2 linked regions of the Xenopus tropicalis genome follow. The protein of the gene in region 1 interacts with the protein of each later gene in a pairwise test. Links are inferred from orthologs where the notes say so. Each region holds a gene or a part of one and is shown in the gene's direction. Other genes may lie near its edges.

What was found. The genes of interacting proteins can lie anywhere in the genome.
Region 2: the proteins of lmna (region 1) and vamp4 interact in a two-hybrid assay, tested with the Homo sapiens proteins (2 studies listed by BioGRID and IntAct, with this or other methods). The link is inferred for Xenopus tropicalis from reciprocal best matches to the Homo sapiens genes LMNA and VAMP4.

Annotation. Positions count from the first base shown.
Region 1 is NC_030684.2:142,920,235-142,927,354, reverse strand, and holds part of lmna (lamin), read left to right. Parts: intron 1-1,796; coding exon 1,797-1,953; intron 1,954-4,052; coding exon 4,053-4,178; intron 4,179-5,359; coding exon 5,360-5,530; intron 5,531-5,605; coding exon 5,606-5,731; intron 5,732-5,977; coding exon 5,978-6,198; intron 6,199-6,973; coding exon 6,974-7,120.
Region 2 is NC_030680.2:107,499,566-107,507,315, forward strand, and holds the start of vamp4 (vesicle-associated membrane protein 4), read left to right. Parts: upstream 1-2,975; 5' UTR 2,976-2,995; intron 2,996-5,323; exon of another isoform or gene 5,324-5,429; intron 5,430-6,096; 5' UTR 6,097-6,172; coding exon 6,173-6,238; intron 6,239-6,748; coding exon 6,749-6,795; intron 6,796-7,750. UniProt on the Homo sapiens protein: Involved in the pathway that functions to remove an inhibitor (probably synaptotagmin-4) of calcium-triggered exocytosis during the maturation of secretory granules.

The DNA of each region.
Region 1 (7,120 bases):
CTCCACCTAGTCCTTATATTGCTATTGTCCTACTGTCTCCACCTAGTCCTTATATTGTTATTGTCCTACTGTCTCCACCTAGTCCTTATATTGCTATTGCCCTACTGTCTCCACCTAGTCCTTATATTGTTATTGTCCTACTGTCTCCACCTAGTCCTTATATTGTTATTGTCCTACTGTCTCCACCTAGTCCTTATATTGTTATTGTCCTACTGTCTCCACCTAGTCCTTATATTGTTATTGCCCTACTGTCTCCACCTAGTCCTTATATTCTTATTGTCCTACTGTCTCCACCTAGTCCTTATATTCTTATTGTCCTACTGTCTCCACCTAGTCCTTATATTCTTATTGTCCTACTGTCTCCACCTAGTCCTCATATTGTTATTGTCCTACTGTCTCCACCTAGTCCTTATATTGTTATTGTCCTACTGTCTCCACCTAGTCCTTATATTCTTATTGTCCTACTGTCTCCACCTAGTCCTTATATTCTTATTGTCCTACTGTCTCCACCTAGTCCTCATATTGTTATTGCCCTACTGTCTCCACCTAGTCCTTATACTGTTATTGTTCTACTGTCTCCACCTAGTCCTTATACTGTTATTGTCCTACTGTCTCCACCTAGTCCTTATATTGCTATTGCCCTACTGTCTCCACCTAGTCCTTATATTGCTATTGCCCTACTGTCTCCACCTAGACCTTATACTGTTATTGAGCCCTGCTGTTTCCACTTAGTTCTATTATTATCATCTAGTCCTGTCTCCACCTTGTCCTACAATTCTCATCTACTTTTGCTGTCTCCACCTTACCCTACTGTTCCCACCTTGCCTACTACCCCAACCTTGCCCAAAAGTCTCCACCTAGTTGTATTACTGTCACCTAGTCCTATGTCTCCATCTGTCCTACTTTTATCACCCAGTCCTACTGCCTCCAACTTGCCCTTCTGTCTCCACCTTCACTGTGAATGAATTGCCCAGGGCAGTTAAGCCTACTTGAGCACCAGTTAGGACAGCTGAATGCAGACCAATAGAAAGCCCTTTATGGGTCCCTCTGACACAATAGAAATAGGACAATAACCAACAGCTGAAAGTTGCACAGTGAGTAAGTCTCCGGCTCCGCCAAGCAGCTGGGACTCTATAAACAAAATGACTGTTGTATGTTACTCTCCTATGGGCCCAGCCGGCTCCTCACCACATGCCCAGCTGTCTCAGCGACAAAATGGGGACTTGTTGCTGCACTTCCATTTCCAGCCTGAGCTGGACACACTGGGTTTAGAAATATCTTCACTTGTGTTGCAGGAATTTATCTCTTCCACTCACTGACCTACAGCAGGAAAAGCACAATAAATAATAAAAATCCAACCAAAAATCACTTTCACTTTGTGAGACCTTGAGAACAGAATCCCCGGTAGGGTGTGGGTGGTCAAAAAGGTGGTCAAAAATGGACAATTCCAGCCTTGACGATGGAAATTCAGAACAAACTTGCTGAATACAAGGTACCTAGTAACCTAAATCCACCCCCTCAACAGATAATTCTGTGGGTCTTTCTATCCTCCAGGAACGTTAGGCCGTAGTCTGAACAAGCAAATGGAGAACCCACTAGAGAGGTGGAGAACGTTTTAGGGTCCCTCTGTACCCCCTCAAACCCTTGGGACTATGATCTGTTTCCTGCATCCAACGGTCCCTTCTATAGACTCATTGGGCTTGGTCCCAGGTTTCATTACCTAGAACCCACCAGTCATGTCTGTCTCCATGTTTGAAGGCCACGTTCTTACCATGTTTCATGTTTCTCCAATCTAGGAACGCCAAGAAGGAGAGCGATCTGCTGACGGCGCAGGCGCGGCTGAAGGATTTGGAGGCCCTGCTGAACTCTAAAGATGCCGCCCTCACCACGGCGCTGGGAGAGAAGAGGAATCTGGAGAACGAGATCAGGGAACTTAAGGCTCACATTGCAAAGGTGAGAAGAAACAGGGAGGGGGGAACCCTTTGGGAAGAAATGTTTTACTTTATGGCCTTTATTTGCCCCATGACCCAAGCCATCCCTGATCCTACTTCCTACGACCTGCAGGGCTTGATAGGAGTTGTAGTTCTACCTCTCCAACTGGAGGTCCAAGGTTGGGTAAGGGTTCAGCTGTTGGCCAGCTTTAATCATGGTCAAGTTTTTGGCCATTTTTTATTACTCACAGCCAAGGGGTTAATCTGTTCCTCCTTGGATGACAATATCTGGCACCGGTCCAAACAAGCTCGGGGAGTTCTCCGCGGCGAATTTATTGCTCGTCAGACAGGAGCTCGTCTGGGCCGGTAGCACAAGCTGTGTCATGTTTGGCTTCCTACACGTTCCATCTGTGTTTAGTGTGGGGGGAGTGGGCTGCAGGGGGAGTATTAGGCACATCTAAATGGCCACCCATCTGCCGTCCAATTGTGCCACTTACTGCTCCAAAGGGGCCAATTAAGAAATTAGAGGAACCGCAGTGTAAAAGGCCAGTCCTAGTCGAGGGTTTGCAGGAATTTCGACAAAACGTGTCCTTGTTTGTGCATGGTTTCTAATTAGGAAGTAATTGGGGGGGGGGGGATGCATTTGTGGTTAGTGGCACCATTGGTTGCCCTTGGATGGGCAACTGTATGATGCACCTAGGTGACCCTGAAATCAAAAGTCTGGGAGGGTCTAAGTCTGGAAGGGTCTAAGTTGTGTCAGTTGTTGAGGAGGCCAACCACGAACCCAGCTCAGTGCCGAGACCTAGTGGCTCAAAAAGACTGGGAGGGTCCAAGTCTGGAAGGGTCTAAGTTGTGTCAAATGTTGAGGAGGCCAACCACGAACCCAGCTCAGTGCCAAGACCTAGTGGTTCAAAAAGGCTGGAAGGGTCTAAGTCTGGAAGGGTCTAAGTTGTGTCAAAAGTTGAGGAGGCCAACCACGAACCCAGCTCAGTGCCGAGACCTAGTGGCTCAAAAAGGCTGCGAGGGTCCAAGTCTGGAAGGGTCTAAGTTGTGTCAAATGTTGAGGAGGCCAACCACAAACCCAGCTCAGTGCCAAGACCTAGTGGTTCAAAAAGGCTGGAAGGGTCTAAGTTGTGTCAAATGTTGAGGAGGCCAACCACGAACCCTGCTCAGTGCCGAGATCTAGTGGCTCAAAAAGACTGGGAGGGTCTAACTCTGGAAGGGTTTAAGTTGTGTCAAATGTTGAGGAGGCCAACCATGAACCCAGCTCAGTGCAGAGACCTAGTGGCTCAAAAAGACTGGGAGGGTCTAAGTTATGTCAAATGTTGTGGAGGCCAACCACGAACCCAGATCAGTGCCAAGACCTAGTGGCTCAAAAAGGCTCGGAGGGTCTAAGTCTCGAAGGGTCTAAGTTGTGTCAAATGTTCAGGAGGCCAACCACTTACCCAGCTCAGTGCCGAGACCTAGTGGCTCAAAAAGGCTCGGAGGGTCTAAGTCTGGAAGGGTCTAAGTTGTGTCAAATGTTGAGGAGGCCAACCACGAACCCAGCTCAGTGCCGAGACCTAGTGGCTCAAAAAGACTGGGAGGGTCATGGTTGGTTTAAGACAGAGTTAAAGCCAAAACAACAGACTGAGGGACTGCTGAACTTCTGGCCCATAGCCCACCTAGTCTAGGTTCAACTGACTGCTGAGACCTTGAGGGAGCCACCTTTGAGTCCAAGTGACGTTGGTTGATTCATGACTGAGTTCAAGCCGTATAACTGACTGTTGAGGGTGCCAGTTTTGAGCCCCAGAGGTTGAACTCACTCCTGAGACCTACTGGTTTAAAAGGCCAAAACTGTGCGGGACTGAGGTCCAACTCAGCACCAAGGCCAAGATGTGACCCAAGTGCATCACAAAACCCAGATTTGGTCTTCAAACTGGTCTCCCCAAGAATGGTCTCAAACACTAAAGAGACGTTATCACAATGTCCGAGCGTCCTCCATGGTGAACACAATTCCTTATGTTTGCGTAATAGGAGGGGCCTTATATTTATTAAATAGATGTTGGTTAAGATGGTGGGAAAAGGGACTAGTTAGTGGGTCTCACAAGCTGAACTTTCCGACTCTTTCTCCCCCCGCAGTTGGAGGCCAGCCTCGCCGACACAAAGAAACAACTGCAGGACGAGATGCTCCGCCGCGTGGATACCGAGAACCGCAACCAGACGCTGAAGGAGGAGCTTGAGTTCCAGAAGAACATTTCTAACGAGGTCTGTTTACTTATCTCTACTTTATGAACCTGGCCAAAGTCCCCAGTAACCACCATGCAGATTAGAGGCTGGATACAAGGCCCCCAGGGATCACCATGCAGATTAGAGGCTGGATACAAGGCCCCCAGCAATCACCATGCAGATTAGAGGCTGGATACAAGGCCCCCAGCACTCACCATGCAGATTAGAGGCTGGATACAAGGCCCCCAGCACTCGCCATGCAGATTAGAGGCTGGATACAGTGACCCCAGCAATCACCATGCAGATTAGAGGCTGAATACAAGGCCCCCAGGGATCACCGTGCAGATTAGAGGCTGGATACAAGGCCCCCAGGGATCACCATGCAGATTAGAGGCTAGATACAGTGACCCCAGCAATCACCATGCAGATTAGAGGCTGGATACAAGGCCCCCAGGGATCACCATGCAGATTAGAGGCTGGATACAGTGACCCCAGCAATCACCATGCAGATTAGAGGCTGGATACAAGGCCCCCAGGGATCACCATGCAGATTAGAGGCTAGATACAGTGACCCCAGCAATCACCATGCAGATTAGAGGCTGGATACAAGGCCCCCAGGGATCACCGTGCAGATTAGAGTCTGGATACAAGGCCCCCAGGGATCACCGTGCAGATTAGAGGCTGGATACAAGGCCCCCAGCAATCACCATGCAGATTAGAGGCTGGATACAGTGACCCCAGCAATCACCATGCAGATTAGAGGCTGGATACAAGGCCCCCAGGGATCACCATGCAGATTAGAGGCTGGATACTGTGACCCCAGCAATCACCATGCAGATTAGAGGCTAGATTTTTGTCTTTGTACCCAATAGCGTGATGCTAAAAACCATTCCCATTTGTTATTATTATTATTAGCCATAACCCATATTTATGTACAATGCCCTATTAATTATCTGCCATTTTGTGGTTGAACCTTTGCGCAATCGGTGCCCGCGCCGCCCTGAATTCCCGCCCCCCCCCCCCTCTTCCTATTTGTGGTTGGGAGCAGCAGTCGGGCCTTTCAAGCCGCCGGCGGTGCAACCGGTACCGACACGTGACTGCCGCCTCCGATAATCACTTAGGAACAATTAACGCTTATTCCCAAGCCCCAAAATCCAAACACAGGGGGGGGGGGCCGGGAGGAATCTGTTGGATCAGAACCCGTCCATCTTGTCTTGCAGGAGATGCGCGAGACCAAGCGCCGCCACGAGACCCGGATGGTGGAGATGGACAACGGGCGGCAGAGGGAGTTTGAGTCCAAACTGGCAGACGCCCTGCAGGATCTCCGTGCCCAACACGAGGGGCAGGTCGGCCTCTACAAGGAAGAGCTGGAGAAGACCTACAATGCCAAGGTGAGGCTGAGCGCCATTTAGTAGATTAGGCCCGTAGCCATGGATAGAACTGACCAAATGCCGCCCCCCCCCCAGCTGGAGAATGCCAAGCAGTCGGCCGAGAGGAACAGCAGCCTGGTGGGAGAAGCCCAGGAGGAGATTCAGCAGAGCCGGATCCGCATCGACAGTCTCTCTGCCCAGCTCAGCCAACTGCAGAAACAGGTACGGCTCCCCCCACCCCCCGTCAGGGGTGCCCATACACTGGCAGATAAGATGGCAAATCGGTCTGAAGGACCCAAAATCTGCCTGAGTATGGGCACCTTTATATATACACTTGGAGCTGCCATGTCGATTCCTGAATAAAGAAACAGCGCCACCTAGTGTGCACCAATTGCCCTGCTCTGTTACTATCTATGGGAATTGGGGGACAGGGGGTGACCTGTTGGTTTTTTTTTTGCTGCCCCCCAGCTGGCGGCTAAAGAGGCCAAACTACGGGATCTGGAGGATGCTTACGCCCGCGAACGGGACTCCAACCGGCGCCTCATGTCGGACAAGGACCGGGAGATGGCGGAGATGCGGGCCCGTATGCAGCAGCAGCTGGACGAGTACCAGGAACTGCTGGACATCAAACTGGCGCTGGACATGGAGATCCATGCCTACCGCAAACTACTGGAGGGAGAGGAGGAGAGGTGGGCGGGGCTTGCTAGTAGGCGGGGCATAAGGCCCATAGGCTAGATTTTACCCTTTCAGTGCCAAATTAAACCGCTTTAGATGGGACTTTATTAACTTTCAGATTTACCGTACTGTGTCTTACTTGCCCTTGAAAGTTGACTTGTTCAGGCAAATAAATGGAGTGAGTTCCCCCTGCTGGGTGGAACTGGTATTGCAGCAGGGGAATTTTCACTACCTGGTTACTTTATGGCATTAGTGGGTGTGTGGGGGGGTCCAGATACTTGTAACCCCCACTCTAATCTTGACTGTAGTGCCCCTCCCAATGCCAAACCATCTCCAAACATGTACCCTATATACCCCTCCCCTTTCCAAAAGCCTCAGGGGTAGAGTTGCCATCTTTTTCGTGGCCCCTGATGACATGGAGGTAGGGGGGTGGGACTTAAAAATGGGAAGGGGTGGGACCTAAAAATGGGAGGGGGTGGGGCTGTGACACTAAGGAAGGGGGGTAGAGGAAAACCGGGGGGAGTTGCAGGGTGGAAGAAGTAATGGGTGGGATGGAGGTGGAGAGGGGGCAGAATTGGGGTGGGTCAGAGGCAGAACATCAGGGGTTAAATATTTACTGGCAAGTCCATCATATATGTCCTGGCCCTGGCTAGTATTTACAGGGGTACAATAGCCCCAGCCTTCATTCATTCTCTACCAGGGGCCAAAACCTTTGGGGGGGCCCATTGAGCCCAGTGTTTCATTATGTCAGTAGAGTAGTACTGAGTATCTCTCTGCCCCCCCCCCCAGGCTGCGTCTCTCCCCCAGTCCTACCACTCAGAAGAGGTCGGCAAGGACCGTCGCCTCCCACTCTGGGACCCACATCTCCTCCTCTGCCTCCAAGAGGCGGCGCCTAGAGGCCGGGGAGTCGGGGAGCACCAGTTACACCCAACACGC
Region 2 (7,750 bases), on another chromosome or scaffold:
ACATTGCAATTTATTCTTGGCCTTAAGAATGTTGTGTTGGTTAACCAGACTGATGACTTTCACAGAGAATCTCTCAGCCCAATGGAATGGGGATTGGATAGTCACTGAATTATATTGCTGCAAGGTGATTTGCAGGGCAGGGTTGAAGTACCAGAATGTACATCTCAGTTCCAGACAGAACATTGGCTCTTGCAGTATTTCCTTACTGGATTTTCAGATAATACTATGTAGTACAAACTAAGCACATACCACAAGCATATTTTGAAGTGCTGAAGCATAGAGACAGATGTCCCTTTGCTAATGTTTAGAAACTACAGAAAGCATATTATGTACAGAATTAGAATGAATTCCTTCAGCTTAGAGATATGGGGAATGAGAAGGGCAATAGAAACATTTCAGAAGACAGCAACAAACGGTTGTTTTTTTATCTGATATTCTTTTATGTGCACTTGTTTTTATGGTTGGAGCTAGGTCCCTTGGTCCCAGTGAAACCTGTTTGTGGCAACAGTTCTGGAAAAGCAGCCTCCATACAGAAGTAGCAGAAGTCCATTATTTTCCTGGCCTGTCAGTCATCTTCATTCTGCTAAAGTATTCCATATACTTCTTTCAGTACATTCATATATACATTCAAACATGTTAATTAAGCTATACTAAAAAGAATGAAATTTTCTTTAGGGATGCACCGAATGATGATGCCTGATGCCAATATTATTAATAGAAAAAAAGATAAAATTATAGGAAGGCCGATACTTTTTCTTCTAGAAAAGGTGGCAACCCTAATGAGAAGAGGTATGAAACACAAGGGGGCACATTTACTAATCCACAAATCCAAATCCGAATGGGAAAAATTCGGATTGGAAACGAACATTTTGCGACATTTTCGCATTTTTTGCGTTTTTTTCGTCGACGTTACGACTTTTTCGTAGCCGTTAGGATTTGCTCGTATATTGTCGCTACTTTTTTGTATTGAGCGCTTGTAAACGGCGGGCAAACCTTTCAGACTTTGCATGATTTTGGAAGCCTCCCATAGGACTCAATGGCACTCTGCAGCTCCAACCTGGCCCAAGGAAAGCCTCCCATAGGACTCAATGGCACTCTGCAGCTCCAACCTGGCCCAAGGAAAGTCTCCCATAGGGCTCAATGGCACTCTGCAGCTCCAACCTGGCCCAAGGAAAGTCTCCCATAGGACTCAATGGCACTCTGCAGCTCCAACCTGGCCCAAGGAAAGTCTCCCATAGGGCTCAATGGCACTCTGCAGCTCCAACCTGGCCCACGGAAAGCCTCCCATAGGGCTCAATGGCACTCTGCAGCTCCAATCCGACCCAAGGAAAGTCACGATACTGAAGCTTGAATGAATCCGAAACTTTCGTACTCGGCGCAACGGCTACGAAAAATCGCAACAATTCACGCGACTTTTTCGCATTTTTTGCGATTTTTTCGTCGACGTTACGACTTTTTCGTAGCCGTTAGGATTTGCTCGTATATTGTCGCTACTTTTTTGTATTGAGCGCTTGTAAACGGCGGGCAAACCTTTCAGACTTTGCATGATTTTGGAAGCCTCCCATAGGACTCAATGGCACTCTGCAGCTCCAACCTGGCCCAAGGAAAGCCTCCCATAGGACTCAATGGCACTCTGCAGCTCCAACCTGGCCCAAGGAAAGTCTCCCATAGGGCTCAATGGCACTCTGCAGCTCCAACCCGGCCCAAGGAAAGTCTCCCATAGGACTCAATGGCACTCTGCAGCTCCAACCTGGCCCAAGGAAAGTCTCCCATAGGGCTCAATGGCACTCTGCAGCTCCAACCCGACCCAAGGAAAGTCACGATACTGAAGCTTGAATGAATCCGAAACTTTCGTACTCGGCGCAACGGCTACGAAAAATCGCAACAATTCACGCAAGTCGTAACGCTACGAAAAAGTCGCGACAATTTGCGAAAAAGTCATAACGGCTACGAAAAAGTCGTGACAACTTACGAAAAAAATTGCAAAATACCGATCATTACGAAAAAAAGCATTCGGACGCTTTTCGGACGTTCGTGGATTAGTAAATGTGCCCCAAGGTGTTATAAATACACACAAGCAAACACATAACCTTGCACTAGGAGTAAGTGCCCTACAAAGGGACCAATAAACCCTATCTATGTAAATGTCTACTCTACAGTATAAGGGCAGTGGTACTTGGGGAGATTAGTCACCCCGCGACAAATCTTTGTTGTCGCGGGCGACTAATCTCCCCACAATGCCATCCCACCGGCTAGAATGGGTGGGATGGCACTGTGGGGAGATTAGTTGCCCACGACAACGAAGACGATACTACTTCAAATCGCTTAACGCTCTGAATCGATATGAGACCCTTTTTTGAGTGATTTTACAAAGAAAGCAATGTCATTAAAAACTACTGGAATCGCTGAAAGTAAAACCCACTGATGGAAGCTGCTGCGATTTCCCCATTGCACTGAATATAATTTCTAATTGTGGAATATGACACTTGGATTTGTGGGAAATAGAATTGCTCCATTGTTGTAATCGCTTGTTAGGAAAAGACAAGTGACTTGTTAAAAGCGACTCACTTTTTAAAAATCACAGCGACTAAATCTCCCCATGGGATATTAGCCTAAGAAAGAGACAATTTAAAATAAAATGAAAGAGCAAATATTTGTTCAATACTAAAAATAATGACAACATTTCTTTAATGTCTCTATTTCATCTTAAAAGATGTAATTAATACTTAAAAAAACATTTTGTACGGCGTTAATGAATACAAACAACGTCAAATCATTAATTTCAGTCCTACAATGGTGCTGGCAGGCTGGCTTCACACTGTGCCAGTGCGCTTGCGCATTGTGAGAACGCCGAACTCTAGATCATTCAGAGGGTTAAAGGGAACAGGACGGTGAATCGCGTTTCGAGCGATGGATGGTTTACAGTCAGCTGGAGCGCCATGTTAGCCAGTGAATAAGCTTAGAGCTGAGCATCGCTGGAGTCTCATCCGAACAGGTACAGGTCTGCCGCATCGGCTCTAGTTGGGAGGGATTCCCCCAATAGTGAACCGTCCGAATATATTACAGCTGCCAGTTTGTCTTGTGACAGTCACAGGCGGTGAGGAAGATGGCTCGGTCTTATTGTCTTCTTGTCAGTGGTTCCTCTTTACAAATCCCAGTGTTTGTGTTACTGTACTAAATACGAATTGCTACACACTTATGGCCACCTATTGCTTTACTTGTTAATTTATCTTCTATGTGTGTGTGTATGTATGTATATATATAATATATATATATATTATACACACACACAGTACTCAAGCCATGAATATCCAGTAAATTGATAGTGATAATCAGTGCTTAGTTCTAAAATTTGTGTCTTGCTGCGTTGTGCCACTATATGGTCATGAAACCTCCCATAACCTCTGATATCTTTATCATGTACAATAGAGGGTACATATATAGTCTCATTGACTGTCATAAGGATGATCTTGATGACAACTTTGTATAGATTGGAACACGTAGAACTTTTAAAGGGGTTGTTCACCTTAAAATTAACTTTTAAGTATGACGTGGAGATTTATATTTGCATTTGGTCTTAATTTTTATTATTTACGGTTTTTTAATTAATTTGCTTTTTGCGAAGCAACTCTTCAGTTTGGAGTTTCAGCACCTATCTGGTTGCTTTGATCTTAGTTACCCTAGTAACCAGGCAGTGGTTTGAATTAGAGACTGGAATATGAACAGGAGAGAACGTAACTAGGAAGATAAGTAATGAAGAGAATGACAATAAAATTGTAGCCTCACAGAGCAATAGTTTTTGACAGACAGGGTCAGTGACAGGCCCGGACTGACGATATGTGGATTCTGGTAAATTCCAGAGGGGCTGCTGTAAGATACCATAGACAGTCACTATTGGGCTGGTGGGGGCTGTTTGGGCCTTTTGTGTACTTGAATTGGCCAGGCCTATTTTGAATCCCAGATCAGACCTGGTCAGTGACCCCCATTTGGAAGCTTTAGAAGAAGAAGCCAAATAATTCAAAAACGATACAAAATAACAAATGAAGACCAGCTGAAAAGTTGCCAAGTATTGATCATTTTATAACATAATAAAAGTTAACTTGAGGTGAATCACTCTTTAACTTCACTGGATTACTTAAATAACATGCAAAAATAAGTGCTTTTGTATTGTGACTGTATATAGTAAGCATCCGGCTGGATACTTCAGAATTATTGGAGTGTGTCTGGATGGGATGGAGATAAATAAAATGTTAGGCACCCCCATTGATTGTAATCATTTACCTGATACCCCAGCCGGTGCTCCTGTTTGGAGAAAACTGCAGTGGCCTTGGGTATATGTGAGCGAGTGTTCCTTTTCCTTTTATCTTCTTTCTTCGGAATCCAGGGGCCGAAGCATGCTCAGTTGAATGAAAAAGCCAGCTATTTTGTTAAAGCCGGCTTTTTACTCTACTGCACATGTGCAAAGAAGAAGGAACGCTCGCTCGCATACACCCTGGCCACTGCAGTTTTCTCCAAACAGGAGCACCGGCTGGGGGTTTCAAGTAAGCGATTGAAGTCACTGAGGGGAGGGGGGCTGCCTAACATTTTGGCACCCCCAAGTGATTGTAACTTTCCTTCTCCTTTAGGGCCGTGGCAGACGGGGAGATTATTCGCCTGCAACAAATCTCCCTTGTCGCGGGCGACTAATCACCCCGATATGCCACCCCATCGGCTTAAATGTCAATCGCCGGTGGTATGGCATATGCGGTGCCGCAATTTCCCAAAATTGCGGAAGTTTCCTCTCAAGGCAAACTTAAGGCCCTTAATGTTCATAATTGCGGTAGCACCTTATTCAGGCGCCGAAAATGCAGTACAGAGAAAAATAGCTTTTATAGGCCCCTTTCCTTAGCACCAGCTCCAGAGCAGAGCAGAACAGGACAGAGCCTCGGGTAATACATTTTTGAACAGTAGAATGCAAGAATTATTTTTTAGGTTTTTGCTGAACTCGCAGCTATGTTCTTGCCCCTGTGTATAATTCTACATTGTGTTCTTTTTCCTTGTAAATGCAGAATCATGGTGTAATGGGGTGGGGTGGGGGGGGGGGGGGTTGTTAGCTCTGGAAGGAAATGTATATGTGAATATTTTCATTTCTTTTTATGTAACTGGCAGTTTAGTCTGCTTTTTTCTTTATATGCCAAATATTAGCCAAGACTTAAGACTTATTATCTTTATTATTTTGTGTCCCTGGCAGTTTATTATTGGCAGCTTGTATTTTTAATTTCAAACCTAGTTGGTTGAGAAAGAAAAAAGCAGCTCTTTGTTTTATATTTATTGACCAGGTTTTAGGGGCAGCTGGGTCTCTTCATCAGACATTCCTTTAAACCATGGAGAATTATCTGTTTCAGCCAATAAAATAACCATATAAATGCCAGTATTTCCCTTTCGAAAAGGTGAGACAGTTATTCCAAAAATGCTTATATATCATGCATGTTAAGCAATCCTGCCCAGTGCACAAAGGTTTCCATCACTGTGCAGATTCTTTGTCCTATAATAGTTAATTGGAAATTATGTAGAAATAACCTGTATATGTGTGCATGGGAACTAAAGTTCTCAGCCCTTAATTTCAGCAAGAAAAAAAAATCACTAGTTTGTCAGTGCATAACATTTCTGTAAAACTTCTCAAGTCCAAATGTAATAAATAATACCTCCAGATTACATGGGCATAATGTTTACCCTAGAATGCGCCAATTCCTTAATTTTGGGGTTTTTTTCTTAAAGGTAATCACATGTTGTGGGATCTTTGAGCACTCTGGTTTTAAGTAACCCAAATTAGCACCTGAAATTGCCCTTCATAGACTTTGGCAGTCCATTGTTCCAGTGCTTGTCAGGTGATATTTGTCTAGATAATATTGTGGGCACATTTCAATCTATAGGGAGAGTTTGGGGTGCTTTGGAGCTGTGTTGGGGCTCCTTACAAAAGCATTGTTCAAAACACCTAAAACAGCCCCTTGTGCCATTAGACTTAATAGTATAAACTATAGTATAGTTATATAGTATAGTTCTAGTTTGATTTTCTAATAACATCTTTTTTTTTCTCTCTCTCTTTCTACTGCAAAGGCTGACTGCTATACAAATACATTGCCCTCACTGATCATTGTCATAAAACACAAATTCACATCAAAGGAAACCCAGTATGCCTCCAAAGTTCAAGAGGCACCTCCACGATGAGGAGGTTACAGGTTCAGTTAAAAGTGAAAGGGTAAGTCTTTTTTTTTATATTCAATGTTGTCTATCACGTAGAATGCTCAGCTTGTTTTCCAAGTCACGTTAATAGAAAATAGTGTATATACTGAATTTAATTGACCAGGGCTACAAAGAGATGATGTTTCCATTGGCAAACAGAAAAAAGCAGAGTTCAGTCAGTGTTTAGGCTGGTGGTGGGCAGGCAGACTTATTGGTGGGTGAACCACATAACATCACAGATGATGGTTTTTCTAAGAGGAAACTGTCAGCTCAAGTCACCAACCAAATGAATGCAACTGATGGTCCATTAAATTGCAGTCACTTACAAAAGTGTGCATCCCCTTCAATGGGCTAAAGAATGATGGCTTCCTCAAAAGCAAGGCATGAATCCATTCTTGATGGGGAAAATCAGAAATCCTATATTTTGTTAGAGAGTTTATTTTGACTTTGAAAGATGGTTTCCAATACATCTATATCATTGTTTTTATTAGAGTAGAAATTTCTAATCCTTTTTTTTTATTTTCAGAGGAATCTGTTGGAAGAAGACTCAGATGAAGAAGAAGATTTCTTCCTGTAAGTTTTTTTTTATGGTCTTATAAATATATATAATTACAATTACAGCACAAATCTTGTAAACTAAAAAGTAACATGTCATATATATATCTCAGATTTGTTTCCTGGCATTGGCCAGTGTTCCAGTGATGAGGCAATTCTGCAAGCCAGTATGCTGGATACAATTTTCAAATACATGACAGTAGTGTTTTTGGGGGTATTTTGACAGAGAAAAAAAACATATAGGGCATAATCTACTAGTATCTTGTTTGTGTCCTGTGAGTTGATTGTCACTGTGTCACAATGGAGTATAATTAATCAATATGCAACAAAAAAATATGAATTCATTATCACCGTTTTTATTTATTCCCAATATATTAAGTTGGATTCATTCGTAGGGATGCATCGAATCCAGGATTCAGTTTGGGATTCAGCCAAATCCACGCTCCTGGCCAAACCAAATTCGAATCCTAAAAACCATGTGACTTTTTGTCACGTAAACACGTTTACGTTTACTGTGCAAACCTAATTTGCATATGCACATTTGGATTTGGTTTGGTATTTGGCCGAATCTTTTACGAAGGATTCGGGGTTCGGCTGAATTCGAATAAAATGGATTGGGTGCATCTCTAATTATTAGGCATATGGTACTAGTCAGGAATGATAGATTAGTAATATCACAGTAACCCCTATATCTAAACTGGGAAGTGATGCAGTGATTTGTGGCAATTCCAGGTACATTACAATCTTTTACATCTACAATCTTTTAGTATACTACATCAACAAGGACACTCGGATTTGTGTAATTTTAGAGGTTTTTTTTCAACCTTGACTAAACTCACATTTTTAAAAATAAAGATCCCTTATTTATTAAAAAAAAATCTAAAAACAAAAACGTGGATTAAATAGGAATACAAAAGAAATACAATTTGATAAGGACAACTCCCATTGACTTCAATATGACCATGCCAGCTTT